Linked DNA regions of Saccharomyces cerevisiae S288C. The gene in region 1 interacts genetically with each later gene. Each region holds a gene or a part of one and is shown on either strand. Other genes may lie near its edges. The genes, in order: CEP3 and MIF2.

What was found.
Region 2: of CEP3 (region 1) and MIF2, changing one enhances a phenotype caused by changing the other (phenotypic enhancement), as found in Saccharomyces cerevisiae (2 studies listed by BioGRID, with this or other methods).

The regions. Positions count from the first base shown.
Region 1 is NC_001145.3:596,832-601,182, forward strand, and holds CEP3 (Cep3p), read right to left. Parts: upstream 2,328-4,351; coding exon 501-2,327; downstream 1-500. Other genes in the region: mismatch repair ATPase MLH1, read left to right, coding at 1-364; aldehyde dehydrogenase (NAD(+)) ALD3, read right to left, coding at 2,521-4,041. UniProt on the Saccharomyces cerevisiae protein: Acts as a component of the centromere DNA-binding protein complex CBF3, which is essential for chromosome segregation and movement of centromeres along microtubules. CBF3 is required for the recruitment of other kinetochore complexes to CEN DNA.
Region 2 is NC_001143.9:271,629-275,871, forward strand, and holds MIF2 (Mif2p), read left to right. Parts: upstream 1-1,765; coding exon 1,766-3,415; downstream 3,416-4,243. Other genes in the region: CUE2 (Cue2p), read left to right, coding at 250-1,581; phosphopantothenoylcysteine decarboxylase complex subunit CAB3, read left to right, coding at 3,655-4,243. UniProt on the Saccharomyces cerevisiae protein: Component of the kinetochore, a multiprotein complex that assembles on centromeric DNA and attaches chromosomes to spindle microtubules, mediating chromosome segregation and sister chromatid segregation during meiosis and mitosis.

The DNA.
Region 1 (4,351 bases):
AAAATCTCTACCACTACTTTTAAAAGGCTACATTCCATCTCTGGTCAAGTTACCATTTTTTATATATCGCCTGGGTAAAGAAGTTGATTGGGAGGATGAACAAGAGTGTCTAGATGGTATTTTAAGAGAGATTGCATTACTCTATATACCTGATATGGTTCCGAAAGTCGATACATCTGATGCATCGTTGTCAGAAGACGAAAAAGCCCAGTTTATAAATAGAAAGGAACACATATCCTCATTACTAGAACACGTTCTCTTCCCTTGTATCAAACGAAGGTTCCTGGCCCCTAGACACATTCTCAAGGATGTCGTGGAAATAGCCAACCTTCCAGATCTATACAAAGTTTTTGAGAGGTGTTAACTTTAAAACGTTTTGGCTGTAATACCAAAGTTTTTTGTTTATTTCCTGAGTGTGATTGTGTTTCATTTGAAAGTGTATGCCCTTTCCTTTAACGATTCATCCGCGAGATTTCAAAGGATATGAAATATGGTTGCAGTTAGGAAAGTATGTCAGAAATGTTATATTCGGATTGAAACTCTTCTACAATAGTTCTGAAGTCACTTGGTTCCGTATTGTTTTCGTCCTCTTCCTCAAGCAACGATTCTTGTCTAAGCTTATTCAACGGTACCAAAGACCCGAGTCCTTTTATGAGAGAAAACATTTCATCATTTTTCAACTCAATTATCTTAATATCATTTTGTAGTATTTTGAAAACAGGATGGTAAAACGAATCACCTGAATCTAGAAGCTGTACCTTGTCCCATAAAAGTTTTAATTTACTGAGCCTTTCGGTCAAGTAAACTAGTTTATCTAGTTTTGAACCGAATATTGTGGGCAGATTTGCAGTAAGTTCAGTTAGATCTACTAAAAGTTGTTTGACAGCAGCCGATTCCACAAAAATTTGGTAAAAGGAGATGAAAGAGACCACGCGCGTAATGGTTTGCATCACCATCGGATGTCTGTTGAAAAACTCACTTTTTGCATGGAAGTTATTAACAATAAGACTAATGATTACCTTAGAATAATGTATAACCTTTAGTAGTGAATCTGCGGTATCATAATAAATGAGATACATCTTAAACAATTTCCAGGAAACAGTAGATATTTGAAAAAGTGCAATAAATTTTTGAAATCTGCTGTTATTTGATCTAAAATCTTCTTCCAACGAATCTACTTTGTATTGAAAAATATCGAGCTCCCTCCTTATAGCATCCAATGTTTTTAAGGGAGGTTTAGAACTCTTGTTCAAGTATTGATCTAAATCTCTGTCTAATGAGATGATTTTCCAATACAAGACCTCTGTGCTGTTTTCTTCCCTGTAAACATCAACGTTAGGCAAATCCTGCAAATATGCTGCATGTTGTAATAGGGAGGATACTTCTGTATGAAGTGCAATTGGTTTGCGTGGCCCCGATTGAAGATAATCGCATCCACACAGGCGATAGAATATTCTTCCCAAGGTTACTTTAGCGATGCTTTCAACGGGGTCATCATTAAGTAAAGGTCTAAAGTCATCCACATGAAAATTTTTAAAGGTATGGATGCACTGTGTTAGGAGCGAATTTGCCAACAACGGTTCATCGTAGGGGAAAGTTGTAGTGGCTAAAATCAGATATGCTTGAACGAGCCTTATATCGGGATGCGCCATGAAATCACATTGTTTCAATTGGAATAATGAGCAGCGTGCAAAATTTTGGCACATGACTAATTGCATACCATCTTCCCAATTGAGCCTTTTGTTGCTACCCAAATATTCATGGAGAGGATATACTGAAAATATTTCTGCTAACTTCTCGACTGGCATATAATAAATGCACATGGTAAAGACAGACCATATTAGTGCGTCCCAGTATTTGCCGTCTACACTGTGATTCTTGTCTGCCCTTCTATCCCAGTACTGTTCCACCCTCAAATATAATTCACTGATATCTCCAATGGAACCAAAATACAAAGCACCTAAGTTTTCCATAGCAAAGTTCATCAATTGGAATGATTGGTCTTTTTGAAGATAATTCATCCAAAACATACATTCTTCAGTATCAGTATCCAAATTAGCTGGTGTTCTAGTAAGATCTCTTTGTTTTGTTTTGTACAGCCCAATATTCGTTATCCAATATTCATAATTTTGCCAGAATAACAATAGGTCAGGGAGATATTCCTTGGAAGATGAAGCCGTTATTAGTTTTGTTGATTTCATACATTCGGAGTCCTGTCCTCTCTTCCTGCAGTTTCCACACGGTATCATACGATCACATTTGACTTTTCGCCTCGTACACACGGAACAGGGATGCTTGGATTTCAGTTGAGTGGTACGGTTAAACATTATTATTAGGATGCAAACTCGTGTTCGTAACTTTTGTCATCACCTGCTCTCTGAAGGTTGGTTATAATATTTCATTCTCTTACGCTTAGCTTACATGGCTGCGCGCACTTCATTTAAAGCCGTAAAAAATAAAGATTTCATAGAATATGAAGCTTTGAATCTCATGTAAACATTTATATAACTATGTAACGAATTATTTATCCAATGAAAGATCCACATGGACTGATTTTATTTGTAAATAGTTATCAACGCCGGTGTCGCCTGATTCTCTACCAATACCACTCATCTTAAATCCGCCAAAAGGAACTTTAGCTTCTTCTTGATTGGTTTGATTGATCCAAACAGTTCCTGCTTTAATATCGCGAGCAAACATGTGCGCTTTCTTGACATCTTTGGTGAAGACCGCAGAGGCGAGCCCGTAGCAAGTATCATTAGCCAGCTTCAGAGCGTCATCATAATTTGTGAACTTGCTAACAACCACAACCGGGCCAAATATTTCATCACGCAGCAACTTAGATGTTTCTGGTACATCAGTGAAGATGGTTGGGGGAATGAAGTAGCCTTTAGCTCCACCAATAGGAAATTCAGAGGTCTGGAACATGTCCAACTTTTCCTCCTTTTTACCACGTTCTATGTAACTTTTGATGCGGTCATACTGTGTACTTGATATAACTGGACCAACGATGCATTTCTCATCAAACGGATCAAATTTTCCTGCAACATCCCACTCCTTCTTTGCAGTTTCTTTAAACTTTTCAACAAACTTGTCGTAGATCGAACTTTGAACATAAACTCTTGAGTTTGCAGTGCAGATCTGTCCCGAATTAAAAAAAATACCATTTGCTACCCATTCTATAGCCTTATCAAGGTCTGCATCTTCAAATACAAGAGCAGGAGACTTACCACCGCATTCTAGTGTGATATCCTTAAGGTTCGATTGGCCGGAAGCTTCCAATACTGAGCCGCCAACCTTAGTACTTCCCGTAAAAGATATTTTGTCGATATCCATGTGGGTTCCTAAAGCTTTCCCCACAACGGAACCATAACCAGGAATGACATTGACAACACCAGGTGGAAAACCTGCTTTTTTAATTAAAGTAGCAAAATAAAGTAGAGATAGAGAGGTATTTTCAGCAGGTTTGATGATAACCGTGTTACCGGCCGCTAAGGCACCTTGCATTTTTCTACAAGCCATAGCTAGAGGATAATTCCATGGAACGATTTGAGCAACAACGCCAAAAGGAACTTTTAGAGTATATGCAAACTTGTTAAAAGTCAATGGAATGGTTTCACCCATATTGAACTTGTCGACCGCCCCCGCATAGTATCTTGTAAGTTCTATAATCTGGGCTAAGTCTTGTTTAGCATTGGAATGGAAAGGCTTACCAGCGTCTAAAGTCTCTAATGCGGCAAGTGTGTCTTGCTCCTCCTCAATAAGTTTTAATAAGTTTGAAAGATAAATACCACGTTGCTCAGAAGATGTCTTCGACCAAACGTTATCAAAAGCAGCCCTGGCAGCTTTCACAGCTTTGTCTACATCCTTTTCGTTAGCTGCTTGGAAGGATGTTATCGGTTCGCCAGTAGCTGGGTTCACAGTTTCGATGGTCTTTCCATCTGATGATGGACAAAACTCATTGTTGATAAACAACCCTAGCGGTTGCTTTAAAGAGATTTTCAATTGTGGGATTTCGATATCAGTATACAAGGTAGGCATTTTTCTTTTGGCTAATTTTCTAAATGTGTATAATCTATATCTCTATGATACAAGTCCAAGGTATAATTACCTGGCATGAGTCAAATTTATTCCCATCCAGATTTGCCATTTTATACAATTAGTTTCTGAGGTATGATCAGTTAAATCTACGCTATTCGTTTGAACAATCTCCCTGTCTCCTCCCTAAACTTACTAATTCCTTAACCCTTAGGGAGTTTAGCAATCAGCTTAAGAAGGGGGCTGATCAACAATCCGGTTCAAGTCTTGGATTAGCAGTAATGAAAATCCCTAAATGCACTAAAGGGCGTGG
Region 2 (4,243 bases), on another chromosome or scaffold:
ACAAGCCTCAGGGGAGACGTTTGAAACCGTAGAGGAATACGTATGAAATATAAATCAACAAACATACGTACTGAATTATGTATCAGGATATATTGCTTTCACAGTTTGGAAATTGCCTCTATCACCAAGATATTCACTGTTAAAAAAAAAAATGCGAAAAAATTCAAATTTCAACAGCGATATTCGCCTTCAGTATATCAATATAAAGCAATTATGACACCTCATTTATCGTGCATATAAGATCATGCAATGAGTATGGATAACAATGATGACCATGAATCTAAATTGTCAATCTTGATGGACATGTTTCCAGCTATTTCCAAATCCAAATTACAAGTACATTTACTTGAAAACAATAATGATTTGGATTTAACGATAGGCTTGCTGTTAAAAGAAAACGACGATAAGTCTACAGTTGATAATGAATTACATCAACTGTACGACATGTTTCCTCAGCTTGATTGCAGCGTTATAAAAGATCAGTTTGTAATAAATGAGAAGTCCGTAGAATCGACTATTTCTGATCTTCTGAATTATGAAACCCTGCAAAAACTTAAAGACAATCAAGCAAATTCTCCTGATAGCGTAAAAAGGAACGAAAAGAAAAATAATTGGGAATCAACAAACGATCACATAGAGAGTATAATAAAGTTTACCGACGCTCCCAAAAATATTGCGCAGGAATACTTAGCCGAAAATGGTTTTGATACAGTAAAGGCGATCATCAAAATCATTTTGGATTATTACGACAAAAGGGATTTTAAAAAAGATGTGGATACTTTCAAAGTAAAACGGAGTCCTAATACGACTGTGAGAGGTGGTCGAGTTCAATCATCGACGGGGCTTGCCCACGTTTTGAAAAAGGGTAAAGAATCCGCAAATGTTGCTCAAGAGAGTCTCAAAAGGCCAAGGAGTTATAAGCACTCCTTGGATAGTCCGCAGATGGTTGAGTTAAATGAATTAGTTGCAGATAATCGCGATCTCAAAGCCATAAACCATGAATTTTTGCAAAAATGCCTGCAATTTTATGATGGAGATGTTGTAAAGGTGTTGAACATATCGTCCTTATTGATCGAAGATGACAAGAATATTACGAAAACTTGGAACTTTGACGAAGGTTTTACCTTGACATCCAGAGATAATTGTAAGCAACATTTACCCAAATTTTCAACACCGCAGATTTCCCGCAGAAATGAGGTAGGAAATACTTATAAATTGCCCCTTCATGACAAAGAAACCCCCGAGGGAGCTGTGCCGGTTATAAATAACCTGTTTCAAACATACAGATTGGATTTCCATGGTTTTCTTCCCAGTGAAGCGGTTTCAACACTGAAACTTGCATTAAATAAGTGGTGGTCCAAAGAGGTAGCAGAACGAGAGTTGAACTCCCACAACATAAACTCATATGGCTCAAAAGTACAGTTTGTAAGCCCGTTAATCGTGGTAACTGGTAGAGGTATCCACAGCATCGGCGGGATCTCAAAGGTTCGACTGCAGGTTAAAAGTTTTCTTGAAAAAAATCACTACATATTTTGGGAAGAATCTTCCTACTTCAGAATTGAGGGTAAGAAGAAGAAATAAAACCTATCTGATTTTTCTATAAAGGTTATAAACGCTAGGCTTCTTTAAACTGCATTGGGTTTTTTCTCAATTTCGAGAAAAATAATATAACGCGTTAGAAATGGTGATGTAAATAAATGAATGTTAGAAAAATACATACGTTAAACAAATAAGTTAGACATTAGCACAGGACAGCACTTCACTCATGGATTATATGAAATTGGGGCTTAAGTCCCGTAAAACTGGTATTGATGTTAAGCAAGATATACCCAAAGATGAATACAGCATGGAAAATATTGATGATTTTTTCAAAGATGATGAAACTAGTCTTATCAGTATGAGAAGGAAAAGCAGAAGAAAATCATCGCTTTTCTTACCATCAACGTTAAATGGCGATACTAAGAACGTATTACCGCCATTTCTACAGTCATATAAATCTCAAGATGATGAAGTTGTCCAAAGCCCATCTGGGAAAGGCGATGGATCAAGACGATCATCTTTGTTAAGCCATCAATCAAACTTCCTGAGTCCAGCCAATGATTTCGAGCCTATTGAGGAAGAACCAGAACAAGAAGAAAATGATATCAGAGGCAATGATTTTGCCACACCAATCACACAGAAATTGAGTAAACCTACATATAAAAGAAAGTACTCCACTCGGTATAGCCTTGACACTTCAGAAAGCCCTTCTGTAAGGTTGACACCTGATAGAATCACTAATAAGAATGTTTATTCAGATGTACCTGATTTGGTTGCTGATGAGGATGACGATGATAGAGTAAACACTTCTTTAAACACATCTGATAACGCATTATTAGAAGACGAATTAGAAGATGACGGGTTTATACCTGAAAGTGAAGAGGACGGTGATTACATTGAAAGTGACTCATCTTTGGATTCAGGCTCGGATTCAGCCAGTGATTCAGATGGAGATAACACCTATCAAGAAGTAGAAGAGGAGGCTGAGGTGAACACAAATGACAATGAAGATGATTATATAAGACGACAAGCGAGTGATGTGGTTCGTACAGATTCAATAATTGATAGAAACGGGCTTCGGAAATCTACAAGAGTCAAGGTGGCGCCTTTGCAGTATTGGAGGAACGAAAAAATAGTATATAAGAGGAAGTCCAATAAACCCGTTCTTGACATAGACAAAATTGTCACATATGATGAATCTGAAGACGAAGAGGAGATATTGGCAGCACAAAGAAGGAAGAAACAAAAAAAAAAACCTACACCAACCAGACCTTACAACTACGTACCTACGGGGAGACCAAGAGGAAGGCCAAAGAAGGATCCAAATGCAAAGGAAAATTTGATTCCAGAAGATCCCAACGAGGATATTATAGAAAGGATAGAATCTGGAGGCATAGAAAATGGCGAGTGGCTGAAACATGGAATACTGGAAGCTAATGTGAAAATTAGCGACACTAAGGAGGAAACTAAGGATGAAATTATTGCATTCGCGCCCAATTTGTCGCAAACTGAACAAGTAAAAGACACGAAGGACGAGAATTTTGCCCTTGAGATAATGTTCGATAAGCATAAAGAATATTTTGCTAGCGGCATATTAAAACTACCAGCTATTTCTGGACAAAAGAAATTAAGCAACTCATTTAGGACATATATTACGTTCCACGTGATACAGGGAATAGTCGAAGTAACTGTATGTAAGAACAAGTTCTTGAGCGTTAAAGGTTCCACTTTCCAAATACCGGCATTCAACGAGTACGCGATTGCCAATAGAGGGAATGATGAAGCCAAAATGTTCTTCGTTCAAGTGACCGTTTCAGAAGACGCTAACGATGACAACGACAAAGAATTAGACAGTACGTTTGACACTTTTGGGTAATTATGATGTGAATATTCTCATTATGCATGCTATGTACTGAAGAAATATAACTAGGTCCATACGCTTATACTGTTAAACATGTGAACTTTTCTGTAAGAAAATGAATCACGTAAAATTTCGCACCGAACTTTCGTAGATGAGAGAACAAAAAGCAGAAAAAGAGAAAGAACAGTAAAGTAACACTTAGTTAGCATATTTAAATAAAAGTCTAAAGGACCAGCAAAGAGTTATTAGGTGTGATGACGGATGAAAAAGTGAACTCAGATCAGAATATGAACGGTAAGCAGGGAGTTAACTTAATTTCATCCTTGCCTACAACACAAGTGCCGGTTTCAATTTTGACCAACAAGGAGAGAAGAAAAAGTATTCACGATGAATCAAATTTCGAAAGATCTGATAGTCATGAAGATCAATCAAAATCCAACTCTAATAGGAGGAATATTTACAAAAACGATTATAGCACAAATTTGAGGGATTTCTCTTTTGCCAATCTGAAGCAAAATAGTGAAAGGAACAAAGATGGCCATGAAATACAGATCAACACCAGTATGCCAGCTAATACAAATGGCCAGCAAAAAAGGTTTTCACCTTCATTACCTTCTGCTGTTTCATTTACGGTGCCCGAGGTGGAAAGGTTGCCGTATCATAGATATTCGATATCCAATAAACCTGGAAAGCAGCAGCAGCAGCAGGAACAACTGCAGCAAAATCAACAACAAGAAGAGCAGCAAAAGGCACAACTGCAGGAGCAAAATCAACGAGCAAAACAGCAAGAAGAGGTGAAGCAAATTCAGGAGCAAGTGCAAAAAAAGCAAACTGAAAGACAGC